Linked DNA regions of Oryctolagus cuniculus. The protein of the gene in region 2 interacts with the protein of the main gene of each other region in a pairwise test. Links are inferred from orthologs where the notes say so. Each region holds a gene or a part of one and is shown on either strand. Other genes may lie near its edges.

Evidence for each region.
Region 1: the proteins of RALGDS (region 2) and KRAS interact in a two-hybrid assay, tested with the Homo sapiens proteins (3 studies listed by BioGRID and IntAct). The link is inferred for Oryctolagus cuniculus from reciprocal best matches to the Homo sapiens genes RALGDS and KRAS.
Region 3: the proteins of RALGDS (region 2) and RAP1A interact in a two-hybrid assay, tested with the Homo sapiens proteins (3 studies listed by BioGRID and IntAct). The link is inferred for Oryctolagus cuniculus from reciprocal best matches to the Homo sapiens genes RALGDS and RAP1A.

What each region holds. Positions count from the first base shown.
Region 1 is NC_091440.1:122,523,424-122,531,468, forward strand, and holds part of KRAS (GTPase KRas), read right to left. Parts: intron 6,714-8,045; coding exon 6,535-6,713; intron 5,142-6,534; coding exon 4,982-5,141; intron 1-4,981. UniProt on the Homo sapiens protein: Ras proteins bind GDP/GTP and possess intrinsic GTPase activity. Plays an important role in the regulation of cell proliferation.
Region 2 is NC_091432.1:235,230,093-235,238,237, forward strand, and holds the start of RALGDS (ral guanine nucleotide dissociation stimulator), read right to left. Parts: upstream 4,519-8,145; 5' UTR 4,492-4,518; coding exon 4,315-4,491; intron 1-4,314. UniProt on the Homo sapiens protein: Functions as a guanine nucleotide exchange factor (GEF) activating either RalA or RalB GTPases and plays an important role in intracellular transport. Interacts and acts as an effector molecule for R-Ras, H-Ras, K-Ras, and Rap.
Region 3 is NC_091438.1:58,669,420-58,677,464, forward strand, and holds part of RAP1A (ras-related protein Rap-1A), read right to left. Parts: intron 7,759-8,045; coding exon 7,702-7,758; intron 5,244-7,701; coding exon 5,103-5,243; intron 3,824-5,102; exon of another isoform or gene 3,723-3,823; coding exon of another isoform or gene 3,144-3,722; exon of another isoform or gene 1,924-3,143; coding exon 1,780-1,923; exon of another isoform or gene 1-1,779. Other genes in the region: large ribosomal subunit protein uL6-like, read left to right, coding at 3,144-3,722. UniProt on the Homo sapiens protein: Counteracts the mitogenic function of Ras, at least partly because it can interact with Ras GAPs and RAF in a competitive manner. Together with ITGB1BP1, regulates KRIT1 localization to microtubules and membranes.

The DNA.
Region 1 (8,045 bases), on a different chromosome or scaffold from region 2:
GCGGGTGCAGGGCCCAAGCACTTGGGCCATCCTCCACTGCCTTCCCGGGCCACAGCAGAGAGCTGGACAGGAAGAGGAGCAACCGGGACAGAATCCGGCGCCCCGACCGGGACTAAAACCCAGTGTGCCAGCGCTGCAGGTGGAGGATTAGCCTAGTGAGCCACGGCGCCGGCTGAGATGTTTTCTTTAATGGAGATCTTCTAACAACTAAAATTAAGTATCTTGAAATTAACAACAAAATAGGAAATTAATCACTCAGTATCTTTAGGTTCATAAAACTAGTTGTTCCAATGTTCAAATTGAGTCCTCCAGAAAGCAAAACAGCGGAAACAGGAGTAGCAGACTAAAGTACTGCTTCTGCCATCTATGCACTGAACTCTTCCCACTTTTGATTTTTACAGACTGAAACACACACTGATCCTATTGTGTCAATGTTTCAGTTTAAACAGCCTTTGCTGATCCTGCTATACACAACTCAAAGGAACCAGAAAAATCCGTCAAACACCTCTTTCCCAGATAAATGTGAAGTAGGTATCAGCCCTTATGTACTAGGAACGTGGGGACCACATATTATGTAGTAGTAGAAAATAACTCCTTTTGCTTTTCAAATACGGACTAAACTGAATATAAAAAATATATAATGTATTATATTCTGGCCAGTCAATGGCCTTTTTATTATTACAAAGTAACTAAGCTGGCAAAAATATACTCTGAAATCCGGGCTGGTGGCAAACAAGTGCTTGGGCCCCTGTACCCATGTCAGAGACCTGGATGAAGTTTCTGGCTCCTGGCTGTTGCTGCCATTTAGGAAGGGAATCAGAAGATAGAAGACCCCCCCCCCCTTTTTTTTTTTTTTAATTACTTGACAGATAGAGTTAGACATTGAGGGAGAGACAGAGAAAGGTCTTCTTCCCTGCACTGATTCACCCCCCCCCCCCGCCCCCCGCAATGGCCACTACGGCCAGAGCTATGCCAATCTGAAGCCAGGAGCCAGGAGCTTCTTCCTGGTCTCCCATGCGGGTGCAGGCGCCCAAACACTTGGGCCATCCTCCACTGCCCTCCCGGGCCACAGCAGAGAGCTGGACTGGAAGAGGGGCAACCGGGACTAGAACCCAGTGCCCATATGGGATGCCAGCACCGCAGGTGGAGGATTAACCAAGTGAGCCACGATGCCGGCCCGATAGAAGATCTTTTGTAAGACCTAAGGTGAAAGTCAGTCAGGGCTCAGCAGCTGCCAACTCATAGGCCAAACGGGGCCGCAGTTGATTTCCGTGCTATGTACAAGCTAACAATGATTTTTCCATTTTCAAAGGAGTCTAAAAAAAAACAACTAATATACAACAAGGAACACTTGTGACTGAAAATTTTAAATATTTATTATCTAGCCCTTTACAGAACATGCTTGCCAGTCCCTGACTTGTAACTAAATTAATGTTCTTTCCCTACTAACCTGTATGCTTCTTTTTGGTGTTTGTGTTTTAGGCTCATGATCAAAAAAATCAAAAATTAGGGCACAAAACTAGCTGCTGATAAAATACAAGGATACTTATGAAGTTATTTTGTTCAAATAACAAATAAATTTATTGAACAACAACCGAGTAACAAAATATGCTGCAGAAATAACAAAATATTCTGCCAAGGCTAGAGCTTCAAAGTTTCACAAAACCTAATATATAAAACTCATTAAAATTTACATATGCAAGTTTACTATCTATAATTACTTGAAACAGCTCTTTAAAAATCTTGTAACACATGCAAATATTAAATTCATTTCAACAGAGGAAGATGCATGAACTGATTAAAGGCTACCTTATTTCAAAGCAAATCAATCAGTTCACTTAATAAAAAGAACTCAACAGAAATCAAATGTCATTATGGTTTAGCAACATAAATTTCATAAATACATCAATAAAGTAGGATATAAATCTAAGATATGCTAGACATTAGGTTAAGAAAGAGAAATATTCTTTCATATTATTTCATTCTACATTTTAATTATGGTCCACATTAATGTCTACAAAGCAAACTTCACTTAATCCACTTCTATATCATACTCCTTTAAAAAAAACAACAAAGAAATCAAGGCCTCAAAACAGCCTAAAACTAAAAATATATTTTAAAAGAAAGCCAGGGTAGGGGCCAGCACCGTGCCGTAGCAGGTAAAGCCTCCGCCTGCCATCCTGGCTGCTGAACTTCTGATCCAGCATTCTGTTGTGGCCTGGGAAAGCAGTAGAGGATGGCCCAGTGCTTGGGCCTCTGCACCCACATGGGGGACTCAAAAAAAGCTCTTGGCTCCTGGCTTCAGACCAGCCCAGCTCCAGTCACTGCAGCCATTTGCAGAGTGAACCAGTGGATGGAAGACCTCTCTCTCTCTCTCTGCCTCTAACTCTGCATTTCAAATAAACTAATAAATCGTTAAAAAAAAAAAAAAAAAAAAAAAAAAAAAAAAAAAAAGGGCAAGCAAGCCAGGGTAGTTTTCTGAGTAGTTATGAATAGCTGAATGCTTCAAACATTACAGCATTAATAACAAAACACCAAAACACCAAGAATCAGCTACCTGGTGCTTCTGCGGCAGCCATCAATCAACAGGGAAAGGAGTGAAGAGCTACACTGTGGTACTAACAAGGAAGAGTCCTTTTAGTATCATCTAACTACCTTTCTACTTAAAACTGTGGTCCATGGACCAAAACCAGCATCACCTGGGGTTTGCTGGACATGCAGACTCACAGGATCCAACCTAAGCCCATTGATTTAGAATTGAGATCTTAATAAGCCCTTTGATCTGCACGCACTGTAATGTACTAGCACTTCTCTACTGTTTACCTTTTTTATGTGAAATGCTAACAAAAATGTTCAAAAGACTAAAAAGAAATTTTTAAAATCTATGAATAATACAACTACAATAAAATATTAATAACAGTATAGATGGCTTGCTAATGTTTTCAATAAAAATTCTTTTCAATTTTTTAAATCCGAAATTTTTTCATAAAAAAAATATCGGAGGGCTGACGTCACGGTGCAGTTGGTTAGGCTGCTAACTTGTGACACCACCATCCCATATGAGCATCAGTTCAAGTCCCAGCTGCTCCACTTCCCATCCAGTTCCCTGTGAATGCAGCTGGAAAAGCAGCTAAAGATGGCCCAACTGCTTGGGCCCCTGCCAACCCATGTGGGAGACCCAGATGGGGTTCCAGGCTTCTAGCTTTGGTCTGCCTGTAGCTCAGCCTCAGCCAGTGTAGCCACTTGGGGAGCAAACCAGCAGGCAGAAGATCTCTCTCCCCTGCCCTGCCTGTTCTCTCTCTAATGCTCCCTTTCAAATAAATAAACTAAAAACAAAACCAAAAAAAGGACTGGAAGAAAAAGCTATAAATATTATAATCATGTTTTCTGAGTACCTTCTTTGCTGAAGAAAATTGAGACTAGTAAGAAAGACTAGAGAAAGACCAAAAACAAAACAAAACAAAACAAAACAAAACAAAACAAAAAAAAAAACAAACCACCCTAAAATTTGGAACTTGGGAAGGAATTTGAATGAAATCCTAATTACTCTGAAGTGAAATATACCAAGTCTTTACTTAAATAATTTATCTGCCATAGAAGAAATATGTATATGATGGAAAAACTGCAAAAATTCAGTTTTTAATTCCAAAACAAACACCCAAATAGTGTACCAAACCAGGAGGAGCTACTTATGATCTCACTGGAGAAGTAACTCATAAATAACAGCTGAATAATTTACACTTATGTTTTTATCCCTTTACAAAATTCAACAAACATCTAGAATGCCTGCTTTTCTGAGTTTAACTATGTAATGAGTTGTTTATCAATTTTTTAAATTCCTAGCAACACAAGAGTTAAATTCTACAAAACCATCTTTGTGGGCTCACAGGTACGCATAACCAGAAAAAACTCCAAAAAAAATGTATGGAGCATATATTGTACAAGTTCTTACAGTCTATGCATGAAAATTGTATTCTATCACATCTTTGTGTTCCTTTCCAGAATTTTCCTTTTAAATGTTAAACTCTTATTTCATACAAACAGGGTAGATAGTATTAGCTAAAATTATTTTATTTTACCTAGAGAAAAAGTTTTTTTAAAATGAAGATGACTGGAACCAGCATTGTGGCATAACGGTTTAAAAGCCGCTGCCTACAACACTAGCATCCCATTTAGACACCGATTTGAGTCCCAGCTGCTCCACTTCTGATCCAGCTCCCTTGCTAATGTGTCTGGGGAAGCAGTGGGAAGATGGCTCAAGTCCCTGAGCTTCTACACCCACATGGGAGACCAGGATGAAGTCCTAGTTTCAGCCTGGCCTAGCACTGGCCATTGCAGCCATTTGGTTAGTAAACAAGTGGATGGCAGATCTCTCTCTCTAACTCTGCCTTGCAAATAAATAAAATATTTTTTTTAAATGATGATTTCTTTAACAAAATTTAGGTTCTAACTGGGATTAATTTTTGCCAGAACAATGCACTAAATGAATAATGGAATTTCTATTCACTTTCAAAATACTCTTTAATGAGAAAAAAAATGCCAAAGTAAAATTTCTTCAAATATAACAAAATTCAATCTAGAAACACATGACATGATACTCTTAAAAGCACAAACTCAAAATCTGTTCCCCTGTTCTTTGTCTTTATGTAACGTGAAATCGCACATTTCTTGAATGTAAGATGTGCTCAGAGCAAGGGAAATTTCACTGTGGAAAGAAATCAAAGCGGAAAGTACTACCATAACACTGCATTAAGAAGCACTGTCTGCTCAAGAGAAGGTACCGTTCTATATGCTATTTTAACACACTGAGAGAAAAACTGAAAATCACATCAATGACAGAATAGTAATGTTATCACATATGAACACATTAATTTCCTTCTCCTACCATTAAAATGATGCTAAAATATCTATTAGTAAAGTATGATTCATGATTGAAATATTTTGCAGAAAATGGATTTGTATTGATTCCAGCTTTACTTACCTGTCTTGTCTTTGCAGATGTTTCAATAAAAGGAATTCCATAACTTCTTGCTAAGTCCTGAGCTTGTTTTGTGTCTACTGTTCTAGAAGGCAAATCACATTTATTTCCTACTAGGACCATAGGTACATCTTCAGAGTCTTTAACTCTTTTAATTTGTTCTCTGGGGAAGAAATAAAGTTATAGCAGAGCATTAGTAAGGCAAAAATATTTCCAAAATTGTCCACAACTTCTGTCTTACACATTTTGGATAAAAGAAGACTTTTAAGGAAATTCCTAGCTTCAACCATACCAATCTCCCTTGCTTCTCCTTCTGGTTATTGTTTCCCTCCACCTTATACAGAGACCTTATATATTACTTAAAGATTAACTGCCTAGAAATTAATATGCAGGTAGATCGCAAAGATAAAATACTGAAAACTTCTAGACTTAAAGTGTTATGCCTAATTTCAATAGCAATAATCTTAGAAACATGTATGTGGTTCAAAGTTTAAGTATAGAACTGAAAATATTTTTACAAAAACATGAATTATAGCATTAACATAATTTTCACATTACTTTCTCAATAAGGAAAAGTGAAAAAGCAGAAAGATTTTAGTTTTTATGTGGACAACACTGCTTACTCTGTTAAATCTTTCTTATGTAGCTAATTTTCAATATGCAATATGCATAAACTCTACATTTGGGGTAAAATTATATTCCTTCACAATTTCAGGTGATTTTTCAAGAAGTGGCATGGAAGAAGGAGCACAGGAGATAACACAGCAGGGTTGACTGAAATTCCTACTTCCCCTGCCTATGGATTAGCTGAGTAAAGCCAGGTCAGTTAACAAATTTCACTTGTTTACTACTCTATAAAATAAATACCACTACCACCCATCGCCTAAACTTTTTTCTTTAATACTAGACTATAGGGTAAACATGCTACCAGAAATGATCTTAAAAGGTTAAACCTCTAAAGTGGCTAACTTACAGCTACATGATATAGCTAGTAAGTGGAGTATTTGTTTTAATAGCTTTAAAAAAATGGTAAATCTTCAGAAACAGAATATTTAATACAGTAATAATTTTAAAGTAGTTTATGCAAAGTTCTTAAAATTTTTTAAAAACCTATTATTGCTCTAATGCTTTTTATTTTTACATAAGTATAATTTTAAATACATAAGGCCATCGTTTATCCAATCCAAGAAGTTCTACACTGAATATACATTATTCTGAAGACCACCTCAAATTGCTTTTTCATATTTTCATGTATCTAAGACTTTTAAAGTCCAGTTTCTCTACTGTAGGGAGGTGAGGAGGACAGAATATTTTAAAGCCAGACACGTATAGGTTAGGTTTCAGTCCCAGCACCAACACTATCTATGGAACCCAGAACAAGTTACTCAACTGTTTTAATGCGCAAGAACTTCATTTTATGTAAAATAGGAATTTGATGCTCAAAAATATTTTAAAATTTGTATTATATAATATATACACTGTGGTAAGAAATACTCAATACATGAAAGCTATAATTACTCCTGAATGCTAATTTATTACATTCAATTTAAACCCACCTATAATGGTGAATATCTTCAAATGATTTAGTATTATTTATGGCAAACACACAAAGAAAGCCCTCCCCAGTTCTCATGTACTGGTCCCTCATTGCACTGTACTCCTCTTGACCTGCTGTGTCGAGAATATCCAAGAGACAGGTTTCTCCATCAATTACTACTTGTTTCCTGTAGGAATCCTGAGAAGGGAGAAACACAGTCTGGATTATTATGGTGCAGCTTTTACTTGTGAAAAGGTGTTATAACAACCAAAAAGACAAAAAGACAAAAAGACAAAAAAAAAAACCGCATCCCAATTCAAAAAACGGGCTAAGGGCTTGAGAAGGGCTCTTCTCTGAAGAAGAGAGAGAAATGCGCAGCCGCTCAACACTATCAATTATCAGGAAAATTTTTAAAAACTTGTAAGAAAACAAAGACAAATTCAGAGGTTTGGACAACGATATGGAGAAACCGGAATGCTTTTGTTATTGGTGGGAATCCAAAATGCTGTTTTCCTGGGCAAAAGTATGGCAGTTCCTCAAAAAACTAAACAGTGAATTACTATACAATCTACCAACTCCATTCCTGTGTGTATAATCAAAAGTGAAACACGACTCAAAGAGATACATGTACACCGCTGTTCACAGCATCATATACAGCAACCCCAGAAACAACTCGTGTCTATTAACAGATAAAGGAATACACGAATGATAATATGCACATACAATCGAATATATTCAGTCATAAAAAATTAAACTTTGCTAAGTGCTACAACTAGACAGGCCTTGAAAACATGTTAAGTAAAATAAGCCAGACACAAAAGTACAATCACATGATTCCCCTTATGTGGGGTACCTAGAAGCTGTCACAGAGACAGAAATAGGAGAGAGGTTACGGAGGATGAGGGAGCGAGGACTAGGAGTCAATATTTAACAGCTAGAGGTTCAGTTTGGGATGATGAAAAAAGTTCTGAAAATAGTATTAGTGGTTACACAGCTCTGTGATGGTTGTACACACTGTGAATGCATTTCATGCCACTGAACTACACAGGAAAAATGGCTACAATGTTAAATTCTGTTATCTGTATTTTATCACAGAGGTTTTTAAAAAAGATTAGCCTCTTTCCCAAGAGATTCAACAATTCAAGTGCATACATTAGTAACAAAAAATTATCTATAAAAATAATTACTACAAAAATGGGACAGTTTTATAAAATCTAATACTCAAAGATGATTCAGATGACACACACACACAAAAATCAATTCACAAGTAATTGTCACATACCTTCTTTACCTGAGAAGATTAGTAACATTCAATATTTCTACTTCTGAAAAATATGGGCACAATATCTAATATGATAGCTACTGTAATTCTAAAGGCACAACTCTTGCAGCTGCAAATTTTGAAAGGCCTCTATTAAAAGAGGAAGACATCCGAGTAAAGAAAGGAGGTAACCTCAATGGAATCTTAAAATGAAAACTTAAATTTTCCCCTAAGGACACTGACGTTCACACTGCCGAAATGGGCCCCCC
Region 2 (8,145 bases):
CCTTCTCCCGGGGCAGCACCTGTCCGCCTTTATGTCCTTTCTCCACTCGTTATCTCTTTCCCCAGGGGGTGGGCCCTGGAGGCACAGACCGTGGGCGCGGAGGCTGGACAGGCCTGACCACCCAGATGTCATCCGCTGGGCAGGGGTGCGGGGTCCCGCCTTACTTAACCAGCCCCTCCGGCTGGGGTCTGTCAGCTCCCCTCTGCCTTGTCTGCCCGCCCCATGCATGGCTCTCCCGTCCCCTCTCCTGGTAGGGCCTGCTCCCTGCTCTGGCTGCACACACACTCCTGGAGCCCAGCAAAGCCCAACTCCGTGGTGCCCTCCTTCCCTCGGGCACGTCACGCCACCTCACCTGCGTGGCAGGGGTCTCTCCTTGTACAGGGGACGTGAATGAGTCAGCCTAGGGAAGCCCCCGACCTCCAGAAGGGGCGTGACCCGGACACAGGCAGCAACCAGGCTGCGCCTCCCCTGGGGTCTCACCACCAGTCCTCCCTCCTCATCCTCCCCGTGGGCTGCGGGCAGACCCTTACCAGGGGCGAGGCCAGCCCCAAAGAGAGGGACCAGGCCTGCATGTGCCCCCTGTGGCTGCTGTTCGCCAAGTGCGTGCACCGGAAAACAAAGCCACATCCAGCCTGGGCCGTGCTCGGAACGAGCCTCGGGGAATCGCAGACTCCAGACTGTGGGACCCCCACAGACAGCCCAAGGGGAAAGATGGAGGCGATCTGTGGGGCATCCGGCCCGAGACCCCCGTGGGATGCCGAACCCTGCACACAAGCACCGTGGGCAGTCCATCGGATAACCAAGACGCGGGAGGAGGAGATGAGCCCTGTCCTGGGGTACAGGGCTGGACAGCGCGTGACGTCATCGGGCTGCTCGGGCAGGTGCACAATTTAAAACCCAAGAATTGCTTATTTCTGGAATTTTCCGCACCGTGTTTTTGGACCAGGGTGACCGAGAAAGTGGAGGGGGAGCCACGAGAGGACCCCTGTGTGTGCAGGGTACTGGGTGGGCGAGGACGTTAGCGCTGTCTGAGGCCCAGCACTGGCATTCTGGGTACTGTTAGAGTTGCCCACGGGGCTATCAGTGGGTGGGACGTCCTTGGGATTCCTGCACACAGGGGAAAGGCGGGTCCTGGGGCAGAGAGCGGCTCTGTGCCGATGACGGCCGTGAAGCTGGGGGCCCTTACTGCCGTTTTTCCTCCTTTTGTGTCTGTCTGCAATTATCCACAGGAGAAATGTCCATCAAAGAAGAGGGCGTGGCTTTTGAGACTCAGTGCCCCTCCCTCAGTCTCCAGCAGCCGTCAAGGGAGGGCCCAGGTTGGCCGCTTCCCGCGTTCCTCGCTCCATGAGAAGGGGTCACGCGTGGCATCCCTACCACGAGGGGCTGGGGACCCCCAGCCGCAGGGGCAGTTGGAGGCCGCGGGCTGCTGTGACCTTGGGGAGTCTGAAGATCAAGGCCGAGGGGAACCCTGGTGCTAGGAGGGGCAGAGGAGGCCGGCGCCGCGGCTCACTAGGCTAATCCTCTGCCTTGCAGCGCCGGCACACCGGGTTCTAGTCCCGGTCGGGGCGCCGGATTCTGTCCCGGTTGCCCCTCTTCCAGGCCAGCTCTCTGCTGTGGCCCGGGAGTGCAGTGGAGGATGGCCCAAGTGCTTGTGCCCTGCACCCCATGGGAGACCAGGAGAAGCACCTGGCTCCTTCCTTCGGATCAGCGCGGTGCGCCGGTCGCAGCGCGCCGGCCGCGGCGGCCATTGGAGGGTGAACCAACGGCAAAGGAAGACCTTTCTCTCTGTCTCTCTCTCACTGTCCACTCAGCCTGTCAAAAAAAAAAAAAAAAAAAAAAAGGAGGGGAGGGGCAGAGGAGCCCTGCTCCCCCTCCTCCGGGCCCCCGACCTGCCCCGGGGAGCGCATCTCCACCCCCCACCCCTTCCTCCAGGGCCAGCACGGCCGGTCGGAGTCTGCTGGCAGATGGCCTGTGAAAGACACAACCAGAGCCCAGAACCAGGCCCGCCCGGCCCACACGCGTGTTTTCTTTGGCCGGTGAGGTGTTTTTAAATGTCTGAGCCAGCAGGGAAAGGTCAGGTGACTTTAATATGAAAATCCACGTTTCCGCTTCTGGAAATGCTGCCGCCCTGACCGCACACGGTCTGCATTCCCGCATGGGACAGCGAGAGGCCGGGCGGAAGCTGCCGGAGCGCCCTGTCGCCTGGGGTCGGGGGGGTACCTATGGGTCGCCTGGGGTCGGGGCGGGTACCTATGGGTCGATTAGTCACAGGCAACCCCCCCCCCACCTCCGGCTTGGGGAAAGGTGACCTCAGGCCAGATCCCCAAGGCCCCTTCTCTCCCTGACCCCCTGCCATCACTGGTCCCCCAGATGCACGGCAGCCGGAGTGCTCGCGCCTCCTCAGAGCCTCCTCCTGGCTCCCCAACTGTCCTCAGGCCTCAGATCAGCTGCTCGGGTGGCCCCTGTCCCACGTCCAGCCCGGCACCCACAGACCCGCCCGGAGCCTCCGGCCTTCGGCTCTCCGGGTCTGGTTCACAAGCTGGCCACGTGGCCCATCCCCCACCCGACTCTGTCAGGGGGCGCGAGACACTGTTCACAGTGCGGCTCCGCCCATGTCCAAGTCAGGACCCAGGCCTGCCGTTGGGCCGGGTCCCAGGGATGGGGTCTGGGCCCAGGCGCCGATGCAGCTCAGAGTGGGAACCGGCACAAGACAACATCTGAGCGGCCACAGCCCTCGGCCATTGCCCCCTCCAAGCTGGACCAGCAGCTGGGTGGGCAGATGTGGGTCAGGGTCAGGCCTCTCCCCGGTGGTCACTCTGTTGTGCTCTATATTCAGAGCCTGGGGAGGCCACCTTGAGGGCGTGGCCTGTCCACGCCCCTGGGCCATTTCCCGGCACAGCTGTCACCATTCCTGGCCCGCCTGAGCCCTGGGGTGGCCCCCTGTGGGCTGATGAGCACACGGCTCAGCGGGCAGTGACACACCTGGGCTGGCCGCCGGGCTCCTGCGCTGGAGAGAGGGCCTGGCACAGCCCCGCCTGCCCCGTGCCTCCCCCCGCACCACTGCTGATGCCAAGAAATCAGAGCAGGGCAGGAGGGGGACATGAGGCGTGAAGGCCTCTGGGAGGCCACAGTGAGCGGAGGGAAGTGACCTCATCCTGACCCTAAACTTCCTGTCCCAGGGCATCAGGACAAGGTGCACCAAGGCCTGCGGCCACATGGACAAGGGCTCCGGGGCCGCACACAGGGAACTGGGGCCGCTCTCACGACTGCCCGACACCCCAGGACCACCCATTCCACAAGCGCGCCAGCCTGGGGGACCCACGGGAGCTTGGAAATTGAGCCCTGAAGGCAGAGGACGGCAGAGGTGAGACTGGGAGGCCTCGGAGAGACCCAGGGAGAAACGGGCGGCCCGGCACGGCGCTGGGTGGGAGACGCCGCCTCGCCTGCGAGACGCCCGGGGTCCAGCATCGCCGCCCGCTGGCTCCTTTCTCCTGGTGGGTGGGCAGCCAGCTGCCAGCCGTGCCCCTCTGAAACCCTCGGCAAGGGTGAGGGCACCAGCCTCGCGGCACAGCGGCCGGGCTGCTGCTTGCGAGGCCTGGGACTGCGTCCCTCCTCTGTTTCAGTCCAGCTAACGCGCACCCTGGGAGGCAGCAGGCGACGGCTTGTGGCCCCTGCCACCCACAAGGGAGACCTGGAGGGAGTCCAGGCTCCTGGCTTTGGCCTGGCCCTGCCCTGGCCGTGGTTGGCATTTGGGGAATGGACCAGCAGAGGGAGGGAAGCTCTCCCTCTGTCACTCTTATCAAAATAAATACTAAAACCATAAAAGAATTAAAATTTTTAAAAATTACGGCAAACAGCCAGAGCAGAGGGTCCTGGGGTGCCCCCGGTGGCCACTGGAATTCAAGTCCCAGCCTCCACTGTCTTTCCCAGGCTCACCACCCTGCGCCTCGGCGACCCCAGCAGTCAATGGGGACAATGACAGTAAAACCAGGCTCAGAACAGAGGACGAAAGAAGGCACCCGAGGCCTCGGAAATCCGAGACACACGGCACGCACAGACGCTCACAGCCCCAACTCCCCTGCCCCAACTCACCGGGGCCGGGGTGGGCGGAGAGGCCAGCCAGAGTGGGCGCCTGTGGCAGCCCCGGCACGGCGGCCTCAGCCTCCTCACTCACGCCTGGGACGGGAGACGGAGATTCCCCAACGTTTTCCAGCCAAACTCCTTCGACGAGTTCTGACAAGGAGGGAGGCGGGACGCCCGGGAAGAAACGTGCCCAGGCTCCCCCGCGGAGGCACGGCTGCCCTGGGAACTTACCTCGGCGGCCTGCGCAGGCAGAGGGGCTGGCCAGGGGGGTGGGCCTCGGGGGGCCGCCTGGCGGGCCAGGGCGCGACGCCGGGCAGTCACCACGGAGACGCAGGCCAGGAACACGGAGCTCTTCCTCCCCCTGGGCACGGCGGGCCCCGGGCAGGCCTGGTCTGCTTCCCGGGCCATGGTGGGGCAGGAGCCCGATGGGAGAGTGGGCTCCCAAGGCCCTGGCCTGTGTGCCGTTGCCTGCCTGCTCTGATGGAGTTGAGCGCCGGAGTGCCTGGGCCTGCTGTCACCAGCGTGGCTGTCATACCTGCCCCCGTGACGGGCAGGGCCAGGAATTCCCGCCTGTGTGAGGCCATCGGCCTGCCAAACGGCTAGGTGCTCGCCCCAGCTGTCGTGGGGGGCTCTGGCTGGAGCTGTTCCTAGCTGGGAGGGGCCAGCCGTCCCCTCTGACCCCCAGGCCCCAGCCCTGTAGCCCTGGCCAGAGCTGAGCAGGTGCAGGGGCACACCCAGGGGCCTGGGCAGGGGTAGGGGTTCCACCGCCCACTCTGGCAGCCTTTCCAGCCAGGCGGACCTCAGAGTGCCCCAGCCCTGACGGCCCGGTAGAGGGTCAAGCTGGGGTCACCAACAGTTCATCTCACCGAGTAGGGTAGCAAAAATAAATAAATAAATAAATAAAATACCAGCCCCATTATCACCCTTTCATCCGCCCACGTGGGGACCCAGACGAAGCTCCTGGCTCGGTCCTGGCTGTGTGGCCATCTGCGGAGCGAACCAGCAGATGGACGCTCTCCCTACCTGTCTGTCTGTCCCCCTCTAACTCTGACCTTCAAATAAATCTGTTTTAGAAACAACACCAAGGTGCTGGCTTGTCCCCAGGTTTCCCATTCTGCTGCATGCCAGACTTAGGAAGCCGTTCAGCCAGGCCAACGTGCTCATTGGACACAGGGAATAAGGAAAAACAGGCCCGAGGTCTCACTGTGTGCAGCCTGGGACAGGGGCACCCGCACGGCAGTGCCTGGTTCACGTCCCAGCTGCTCTACTTCCTGCTAACGCCCTGGGAGGCAGCAGATGGCACAAGTGCTTGGGGCCTGTCACCCACGTCAGAGACCCGGATGGAGCTCCAGGCTCCCGGCTTTAGCCTGGCCCAGCCCTGGATGTTGTGGGCATTTGGGGAGTGAACCAACAAGTGGACAGCAAGTCTCTATCTCTAATAAAATGAAAATAAAGAAACCTTAAAAATAAATGAGTACAAAGCCACCAAGACCGTGTCCTGGAGAGCACGGGGTGCTGCCCAGGATCTCTGGGGGTGGGGGGACTCCAGGCCCCGCGCCGGGCCAGCAACTGACAAAGCCTACACCCCCCTCCGTGGTGTTCAGAGGCCCGAGCCCAAAGCCCAGCAGTCTCAGGGCGAAGTCCAGGCTGGACGGTGACCGGAGGGCGCTGGGCTGGGCACACGCATCCCCGGAGGCAGGGGCTCCGCAGCCCCCACCCCAGTAGTCCCCGCCGCCCCCTCTGACCGACAACCTCACATCCCCCTCGGGGGCTCTGTGGGGTGCAGGGGACCTGGCTGAACAGGAGACTCAGAGCCTAAAGCAGCCAGGCTCCTGTCCCCACTGGGCACTGCCTCCCCGGGCCTCCATTTCCTGACCTGTCACGGAAGGGGTGGGGGACGGAGGATCACACAGGGGTCTTCAAACTCAAATCCACTCTTGCCCTCCTAACGGCTCCCCTCGACTCCCCCAGAGCTCGCGACCTTGAACTCGTACCAGCGGCCTCCTGCAGGAGAAATTTTTCGGAGACACCCAGGAGGTGAGGAGTCTCTGGGACGGAAGGTGGGCCTGGCGGAGGCGCCTCCCCCGACCCCAATCCCGCCGGACGGGAAGCTAGGTCCCCACTGGCCCCCGGGCTCCTCCTAGCCACTGCAGCCTTGACCCTGGCCTTCCTGCTGCTGCGGCCGCCACCTCGGACTCCTGCATGAGCGTCCCCGGCCTGGGAGCACGTCACGCTCATTAACGCAGCAGCACTGCCCACTCCACGCCCGGCTCTGAGGGCCCTGTCCACTGGGGGTCAGAAGCCATCTCTGGCCTCCTGCATAGGCTGCCACTCAATCCTAACCTCTGGGAAACAGTGGCTACCAAGGAGCCACGTCCTCTGGAACCCAGTGACAGCACCTCTAAGCCTCAGTTTGCTCGCCTGTAAAATGGGCACGAGGGCACTGGCAGATCTAGCAAGGACTCAGCATGAGCCCGGCTCACAGCTACACTCAGCAGACAAGCGCTGGTGCAGCCAAGGGCTGTCCCTCCCCCACCCCCATCCCAGCTTGTCCCCACTGGTGCTTGGCAAATGAGTGGAGCCCACACAGCTGACCCCACACCAGGCATCAAGCCCCGGACGGCAGTCAGGGGTCTGCCCAGCGCTCACGGCACGGCCTTGTAACCGAATCGTGGGAGAGATGTTGCAAAAGCAAACAGAGGAAGGGGGTGCAGGGCACCGGGGGGCCCGGGTTCTGGTCCACTCCCCGCCCTGCAGACGGGGCTCCCAGCCCGGCCCCGGCTGGGTGTTGGGTTGGGAAGGGACGGAGGCCCTGTCCAGACAGGGGGGGCCCAGTGAGGCAGGCCCTGGCGTCAGCGGGGATCCGAGGAGGGAGACCGTCCTGGGGTGCCCACGCTGTCCCCAGTCTGTCACCCTGCGTGGCCAACCGCTGGGTCACGTGGTGCGGGCGCTGTGGGGACCCCCGAGGCAGAGGGGATCTCTCACGCGTGACTTGTGCTGTTACGCAGGGGCGGCCGCGGGCGGGGGTGGGGGCGGTACGCAGGGGTGGCCACGGGCGGGGCTGGCTGGGGCTCTGCTTACAGCACAGAGCAGTGCAGGGAAGCAGGTGGTCGGTGTGTGTGCGGGGCTGGCACCTCCCAGCATCACCCCGTGCTGTCCCACGTCCCCTCCTACCCAGCTTCCCAAGCACGGCTGCCCCCACTCCCGACCTCCTGCCGGGCCTAATCCGGGCTCCTACCTCGTAGTCAGGCACTGAGGGGGTGGGAAGGCTGGGGAGCCCAGAGGAGGCGGGGCCGCGGGAAGGGAGAGGCGGGAGCACCCACCCCGCCTGCGGCCCACGTGGTCCGGGCTGCCCGCCCTGCCCGCCCCGCCCCCCAGCTCTGGGGAAAGCCGGGCCTTTGTTCCCGGCCGGCCTGGAGTCGCCACACGATGCACCACATCGCTGTCACCGCCTGGAACGGGCAGAGCCAGGGCGCCGGGGGCTGGGCTCCAGGACAGCTAGGGGAGCCCCGCCTGCGCCGCCTCCCCCGCGGCCCAGAGCTGTGCACCCACTGTGTGTGACGCTCAGAGCAGCCCGGGACACCCAGGTCACACAGCCTGCCACGCGCCCCTGCTCCGCACGGCTCCCCGGGCTGCGGGTGGCTGGGCGGGGGCCTCTCACGGGCCCTGGCCCATTGTTTATAAACACTGGGGTGCTGTAGCTAGGTGCTGTGACTCAGAGCCAGAGTGGTGACTCCTCTGCTCACTGCTCTCTTAGCACAACATCCTGCCCGGGAACCCGCGGCCCGGCCCACTTCCCTGCAGCCCGCCGACCTCTGACCCAGGCCGCCCGGGAACCAAGGCCCATCATCCAGTCTCACACAGCCACGCCCTGGGGGCTTCCAGGCCCGGGACCCTTCCCCATTCAGCTCTGGCTGTGAGACTCCCAGGCCGGGCACTACAGCCCACGCCTGTCTACGCCTGAGAGGCAGAGTGGTCCTGACGTCCCCGTGTCCCCGAGAGCCTGCAGTGGCCATCTTGAGCATCCTCGGGTGGCAATGCACTTTCCCATAGCGCATCGGG
Region 3 (8,045 bases), on a different chromosome or scaffold from region 2:
AACAGTAAAGATTCTTAAGATGGTTAATATATTTCATTTTATTATTTTCCATCTATTTTCATAAAAACTCGTCATGTCAAAGGTCAACTTTAACAAGACTGCTATGAAAAAACAGCTGTGCTGTATTGGCAATTGCAATTCAGAGGAGGGTTAGTGGCATGCAGGCTTCTACAAACACGGGACACTACAAGGTGAGGAAAAGTTCCTCTCCGTGGTGTTCTGCCTACCAAGGGAGAGGTCCCAGGTGCAGAGCCTGCATCAACCTAGTAAGGAACCGATTCCTGCAGCCAATCATCCTGTAGCGTGTCCTCACACGACTGCTCCAAAACCCAAGCACGTTCTACCAATCTCAATGCATTCTTTAATAAAGTTAAAATTTAAAAAAAAATATTAAAAATTAAAACTTTATTATTAACCACATCTTTCAAAATAAGCTGTAGCAAACTGTAATCCTACAAAAGAGAAAATGGAGGTGGAAGCATATTCCGTATTTCCTTTCATCTGCTTGGCAGTGGCAGGTCTCGTTCTCCCTATTAGGATGTAAACCTCCTGGGGGCAGGGGCGTATCTGTCCGGATGAATATCACCTGTTACCTGGGTGTCTAATACAGTACCATATGCATAGTATGTACTCAGTAAGTATTTCCTGAAGAAGTTAAATCTGTTAATTTCTTATTTTTATGTAGTTTTTAAAAATGGTTTTGTAAAACATATGATTTGTATCTAGCATGTTTAAGTGTTTTCTATCAGGCACCTAAGGTAACCTGGCCATTTTAAAAGTCAGGTAATAGTCTACAATTATCAATGAAGGAAAAGGGATCTACAAAATCACAGATCAGAGAGGACAGCAAGAAAATCACAGAACTCTGATAACCAAATCTGCTCTTCTCTCACCTGTGCCCTAAATAATATGAACTCTGGCCCATTCTAATGATGCCACAAATGACAAGCACACAGGCAACAGAAAAGGAAAGAAAAAACCCAGTCTGTTTTGTTTTTAAACAAGGTGCACAGTAAAGTTAACAAAAGGAAAAGGACCCTTGATTGATGGGGGCAGTTAAGAACTGCACTAAATTTTAGGACCCCAGAAAACAGGCCGTTTACACCCAGACGTGCAGCTTACTTGCTAAGCATTTCTGTCTATAGCTACGCTGTCAAGATAGTGGAGTGTTTAACTCAGGGACGGATGGATACACACAGACACACGGACACACACAGAGTTTATGCAGCTGCTCTATCAGCTCTAATGGTCTGAGTGGATTCCAGTTACATGTCCACACTCTCACAAATTCCTTTTCTTTGCATCACGCACCAAAGGCACGGCAAGATTCAGAACACCAAATCTTGTGATTCCAAAGGTAGCAACATCATTTTGTGCAACAAAAACTTCTTATAATAAACTACTTTGCTTGCTGTGTTTCTTTACTTGACTTTAGAACCCATTTACATGCATCTAGACAGATAATTACTACAATACAGGGTGATATGACAGTTCTGAAACACCACCTTCTGGCAAATCATTTAGAGGCTTATCAGGATTTTATACAAATTCTTTAACTTTCTTGACAAAAAAATTGAAGTGTCCTCATTATAGCCATCAAAATGATCCTATGCAAGTTTAAGAATAAGGTTTCTAGAAATAATTAGTGTTTTGTACAAAGTGACAGAAACACAATTGCTTAGAAGAACAAAACGTTTTCTTAAAAAATTTTTAGGTGTTAATTAAAGCCAAGGAAAATAAAAAGGCACTTATTTGTGCTGCCCAGCAGCTGTAGGTTACCTCATTAACATTGATCTTTGACTTTGCAGAAGATTCTAAAAAGGCACAGTTACACCATTGTCTTGCTAAATTCTGGCCCTGTTCCTTGCCAACTACTCGCTCATCTTCCAGGTCACATTTATTGCCAACCAAAATCATTGGAACCTATGGGAAAGAAGAAACATAAAATGAGCAATGAAATACTTATTACTTGCTCTCTTCTTACAAATAACCAATTATCTGCCACTAACTGAAATTTATTAGGATTATTAGGTTTGCCAAGTACCCTCATAAAAAGGTGTTGTGTGTGTATGTATGCATATATATATATTGTATTGTAGTAATTATATATATGTATGTTGGGGGGAAAGGGTAAATATCAAAAAACATGGAAGAGATCCTATCGCAGTCATATGCTAAATTATTTTAGGAATATAATCCCCAAATTCTCATGCTGACTATTTGTGATAGATGAATACCAAGTAGAAAACTCTGAAAAGGAAAGAAACTTCTTGCAATACAGAGAATGTGTTCATTGGACCTGACTTAAGTGCTTCATCTCACAGACAAAACAAACGCTCAAGCAATGCCAAGACCAACATAGAAACAGGTCCTATATCTATCTACATTTAACATCTATTCTAGACGTAGATTTGAAGACCTGTCTATAATTGAGGAGTTAAAAAAGATGAACAATAAAAATAAAGCCAGAAAGCAGTTATGTATTCCTTTTTTACTCCGTATCACAGATGCTCAGCTACATGTAGTTATGACTTCCTATTTCCAGTAAAATAGGCAGCCAAAACAAAGTTTATTAACTTTCTTAGTAAAAGGGTGTCAAGAAAACAAAGTCATTTGTTTGTAAGGTGATGAACACTATACAAAGGAAAGAATTTAGGAGAGACCTGGTGGAATGGGCAATTGTCACAAATTAGACTAAACCCATCAGACATCTTCAAATCCATCTTTTTTAGTTTATCATACAGGATAGAGGGATTAACATAACTAGGGCTCAGTGACTTGCAAATAATTGCCTATGAAAACAACTTTCTTAGTCATGGAAAGGAAGAAAAGTACTCATTAGGTCACAGTTGGTTATGAGTCAATGGTGTAAAGCCCTTCCACCAACAATATTACTAAGTCAAGGTCATGAGCATATGTATATGCTCTCATTAATAATTGGAGAGAAGACACAAAAACAGCTGAAACTGTATATCCTAATTTGTACAACCGAAAAGAAAATTCTTTGCTGTTCAAAACTGAGGTAAACATGAATTATATATTTCATCTTGGCAAAAATGTTATTTTTAATTTAGACAAAATTTCCAAAGCAAAATTAAATTTTAAAAAATCCAGCTGCTCTCTTTGCCGCATCTACTGCGAGAATGAAGACCATTCTCAGCAATCAGACGGTCGACATCCCAGAAAATGTCGACATCAGTCTGAAGGGGCGCACAGTCATTGTGAAGGGGCCCAGAGGAACCCTGCGGAAGGACTTCAACCACATCAATGTGGAACTCAGTCTCCTGGGAAAGAAAAAGAAGAGGCTCCGGGTTGACAAATGGTGGGGAAATAGAAAGGAACTGGCAACTGTTCGCACGATCTGTAGTCACGTACAGAATATGATCAAGGGGGTTACACTGGGCTTCCGATACAAGATGAGGTCAGTGTATGCTCACTTCCCCATCAACGTGGTTATTCAAGAGAATGGGTCTCTTGTTGAAATTAGAAATTTCTTGGGTGAAAAGTACATCCGAAGGGTTCGGATGAGGCCAGGTGTTGCCTGTTCAGTGTCTCAAGCCCAGAAAGATGAATTAGTGCTTGAAGGAAATGACATTGAACTTGTTTCAAATTCAGCTGCTTTGATTCAGCAGGCAACAACAGTTAAAAATAAAGATATCAGAAAATTTTTGGATGGTATCTATGTCTCTGAAAAAGGAACAGTTCAACAGGCTGATGAATAAGACCTAAAAGTTATCCGGCTGCAGAAACAAGAATCCAGATTGTGTCTTGTGGTATTTTAATAATGCAATAAAAGATTATTGATTTGGAAAAAAAAAAAAAATCCAGCTAATTAAATGCTTTCACATAATTACAAGGGGAAAAATCTGCATGTAAGCAAAAACTCTATCAATAGAATAGAAATAGAAAGAATATACCATTACGGCTCTTAATACTGTTCAGTGTTCTTTGACCACTGTTTCTTTTTTTGACAGGCAGAGTTAGACAGTGAGAGAGACAGAAAGGTCTTCCTTTTCCATTGGTTCACCCCCCAAAATGGCCACTGCGCTGATCCAAAGCCAGGAGCCAGGTGCTTCTCTTGGTCTCCCATGCAGGTGCAGGGCCCAAGCACTTGGGCCATCCTCCACTGCCTTCCCGGGCCACAGCAGAGGGCTGGACTGGAAGAGGAGCAACCGGGACAGAATCTGTCGCCCGAACTGGGACTAGAACCCGGGGTGCCAGCGCCACAGGCGGAGGATTAGCCTATTGAGCTGCGGCGCTGGCCTGACCACTGTTTCTGCCGTAACTAGCAGCTTCCAAAGCTCAAGTCCTACTTTTTTTTTTTTTTCTGCAGTGAGCAAGTTTACCATTTTATTGAAGTCACGTAAATGATTTGACAAATACACAATTGAATGACATCACTGGTTTGTTGTAATTCACAGTGAATTACTAGAATACATTAAGGTGGCTCCTTTACACGTAGGACTGCAGAGTGGAGTCTCACTTCTTACTCAAAGTACTTTTATTAAGATTTGCTTATTTATTTGAAAGGCAGAGTTAGAGAGAGAGAGAGAGAGAGAGAGAGAGAGAGAGAGAGAGATAGATAGATCCTCCATCTGCTGGTTCACTCCCCAGATAGGACTACAATGGCTGGGGTTGGGCCAGGCTGAAGTCAGGAGCCTGGAATTCTATCCAGGTCTCCCTATGTCGGTGGCAAGATCCCAAGCACTTGGGCCATCTTTTGCTGTTTTCCCAGGCACAGTAGCAGGGAACTGGATGGGAAGTGGAGCAGCCGGGACCCAAACCAGCACTCATAAGGGATGCCAGCACTGCAGGCAGAGGTTTAACCTGCTGTGCTCTGTGAAATACTCTTTTTCTTTCTTTATTGTATGTTTTACCTACATGGCATAATGAGCACTTAATCATATATCTCCTCATTTTACAAACACCTTAGCATATAATTTGCAAGTTAATTCTGGAAGCTTTATGAATTTTGTTTGCTTCAGGGACCTTTTGGCATGTGGAAGATACCTTCCAAATCCCCTACTGATAGAGTAAACAGAAAAATTTTTATTTCGCTGAAGAAAAATAGCACTATGTTTCTTAGAGAAAAAAATACTTACATCTTCTGTGTCTTTAACCCGTAAAATCTGTTCCCTCAGGTCCTGTAAGTCATTAAACGTGGACTGAGCTGTGATTGAATATACCAGTGCAAACCCTTGGCCATTCTTCATATACAAATCCCTCATTGCTGTAAATTGTTCCTATAAGAAAACATGCGTAATTATAAAAGTATAAAGCTCTTGAATATAACAGAATAATCAAAAGTAAGCTAGTTATTTTTCCCTTTTAAATCACATGCTATTATGACAGAAACACAAAATGGAATACATAGTTTCTAGTAATTGAGGTCAATGTTCCTGTTCCCTACCAAGGTGAACAGAAACAGTGATAACAAAACTATAGGATTAAAAGGAATTTCCATCTTAATCTGCTTTCTGTGACTTAGAAGAACTGTAGCTAATTCTTTTTTTATATATACATATCTTAATTTTGCTTGGAAGCTCATGACATAACCACGGCCCAAGTGAAAACAATCGGAAGCATAAACTCAGTCCTCAACTGTGACTTAATCATCCAGCACAGGCAATCTCGAACACTTATTGGCAAACCGATTCTTCTGGTAAGAATGTGTTCATGTATTCTCAGTTTTAAAACTTCGAGAAAGTGAGAACACTGCAAGGACTATCCATGTCCTTCAGTCAGATTCACTACTGTTAACATTTAGTCCCGGAGCTACAGTCACATCAAATTAGAGTGCTGTTTTAAGTCTATTTCTTCTTATTTGGCAATTATCACTACTATATAATTATAAATATTAGTATAAAACAGAATTGCATAAACTGGATACTTTATACAAAGCATTAAGAAAGCAAATATGGTAACATATTTAAAACATATACAAGTATATTTTGGGTATTTGTAACTCTATGTTTTATACCGTCACATCTTTGGGAGTCCTGCATATAAAAGAAGGCCTTACTCCACAATGTTTCTGAAGGGTTTCCTGCCTTGGCTTTCTGGCTTCCCATCATCATTACCTCTATTTTGTATACAACATCTGAAATAGTTAGTTGTTCTACCCTGGCTGATGCAGTCACTGTGGATTTCAGGAAGTCTGCTACACTACCACTCGTTATCCTGAGTCTTAGGTGTGCCAAAGGACTATGCTAAGTATTCTACGCTATTGGCAGTGCATTTTCTGAGAAAGGTATTAAAACTGGGGGTTTCCTGGAATTTTCATTTATAAACTATGTTCCAGGATAGCATCATTACAGTAACTAAATAAATTGTGCCATCATCTAAATACTTAAATACGTAATAAACGACAAAATATATAAAACACAAATAGAATTGTTACAAATACTAGCATCAATATTCCTATGTACTCTTGATAGAATATTTTCTGTTATTTATTTTTAAAAGAATAAATACATATAGGCAACTTAGTTCTGAAAATCCAATTTTAAAAAAGGCCTTACGGTACCAACATGGTTGGTGTTACCCCCTACTGAGAATGCCCACCTCTTCCTTAAGGACATTTTTTTTTTATTAAATATTTATTTGTTTATTTGAAAGGCAGCGATACAAAGAAAGAAGGAGGGAGACACAGAGGTATTTTCCATCCACTGGTTCATTCCCCAAATGGCTGTAAGGGCTGGGGCTAGGCCAGGCTGAAGTCAAGAGCCAGGAGCTTTTTCTGGGTCCCCTAAGTGGGTATGGGGGCCCAGACACTTGGGCCATCCTCTGATCCTTTCCCAGGTACATTAGCAGGGAGCGGGATGGGAAGTGGAGCAGCAGGGACTTGAACCAGCACCCATTTGTTAGGATGCCGGCACTGCAGGCAGAGGCTTAACCTTCTCTGCCATAGTGCCGGCCTCACCCTAAGGACATTCTATGAGATTCATCCATTAAATAAATATCCAGAGGCCCCTGTATGTGCCAGACACTGCTGTAGCACTAGAGAAAGGATGGTGAACGAGAGAGGTAAAAATCTCTGAATAGCAACAAAAACAAAGTATAAAAATATGCAGGATGGTTGTACAAATACTACACGGAAAAATAAAGCATGGGAGGAGGAGACGAGTCTCTTTGGCAAGAGGGAACATCAGGTCATAGTTTAGAAGACCATGATCAGAGAAGGCCTCACAGGTAATAGCTGAGGAGGATCTGAAGGAGGCGAAGGAGAGAGCTCTGTGGCGTGCAGAGAAGAGCCTCCCAGGCACAGGGAACAGCAAGCGAAAATGCCTGAGGGGAAACAGGCAGAGCATCTGAGAAGCTGCAGGGACACAGGCCTCTCTGAGAAACCAGGGGACTACAGGTGGTGGGGGCTGAGGGAGGGAGACAGAGACGACTGACATTCACAGAAGTGCCTATCTTAACTAACACTCTAGATGTAAAATAACTATATTCTAAAGCATTGATGATCACACTCTCTACTCCAATAGGAAGAGAAGAAACCAACACAGATTCTACAGGTGAACTCAATATGTGGCACTGAATACATCACAGCGAATTTCATACACACAGAATTTAAGATGACCTACATTCACAAAATTTGTTCATAATCAGAATTATTATTTTTACTGGGAATTATTCAGCAATTCTGAAAAAACCTGTTCACAAATTAACAGCTATCAAAGAAAGACAGAACATCCTTACCGTCCCTGCTGTGTCCAGGATTTCGAGCATACACTGTTGGCAGTCTACTTCAACTTGCTGTGAGTAGAAAAAAAGACAACATGAAAATGGAACATCAGAAACTCATTCTTTTTGCTCCCACCTCTTCATTCAAAATATCTGACAATGACAAAGCCTTTCTTGAGCACTCTGCTGTACAGGCTGGGATGAACATGGTACTATAATAAACAGGGGGCTCAACAACATTCTATTAATATTATAGAAGCCAGGATAGTTACTGTTGGGTGTAGCTATTTTCCCACCACTGTAATGATTCTCATTTGTTGTTATTAAAAAGTAAATGATTGGCCGGCACCGCGGCTCAA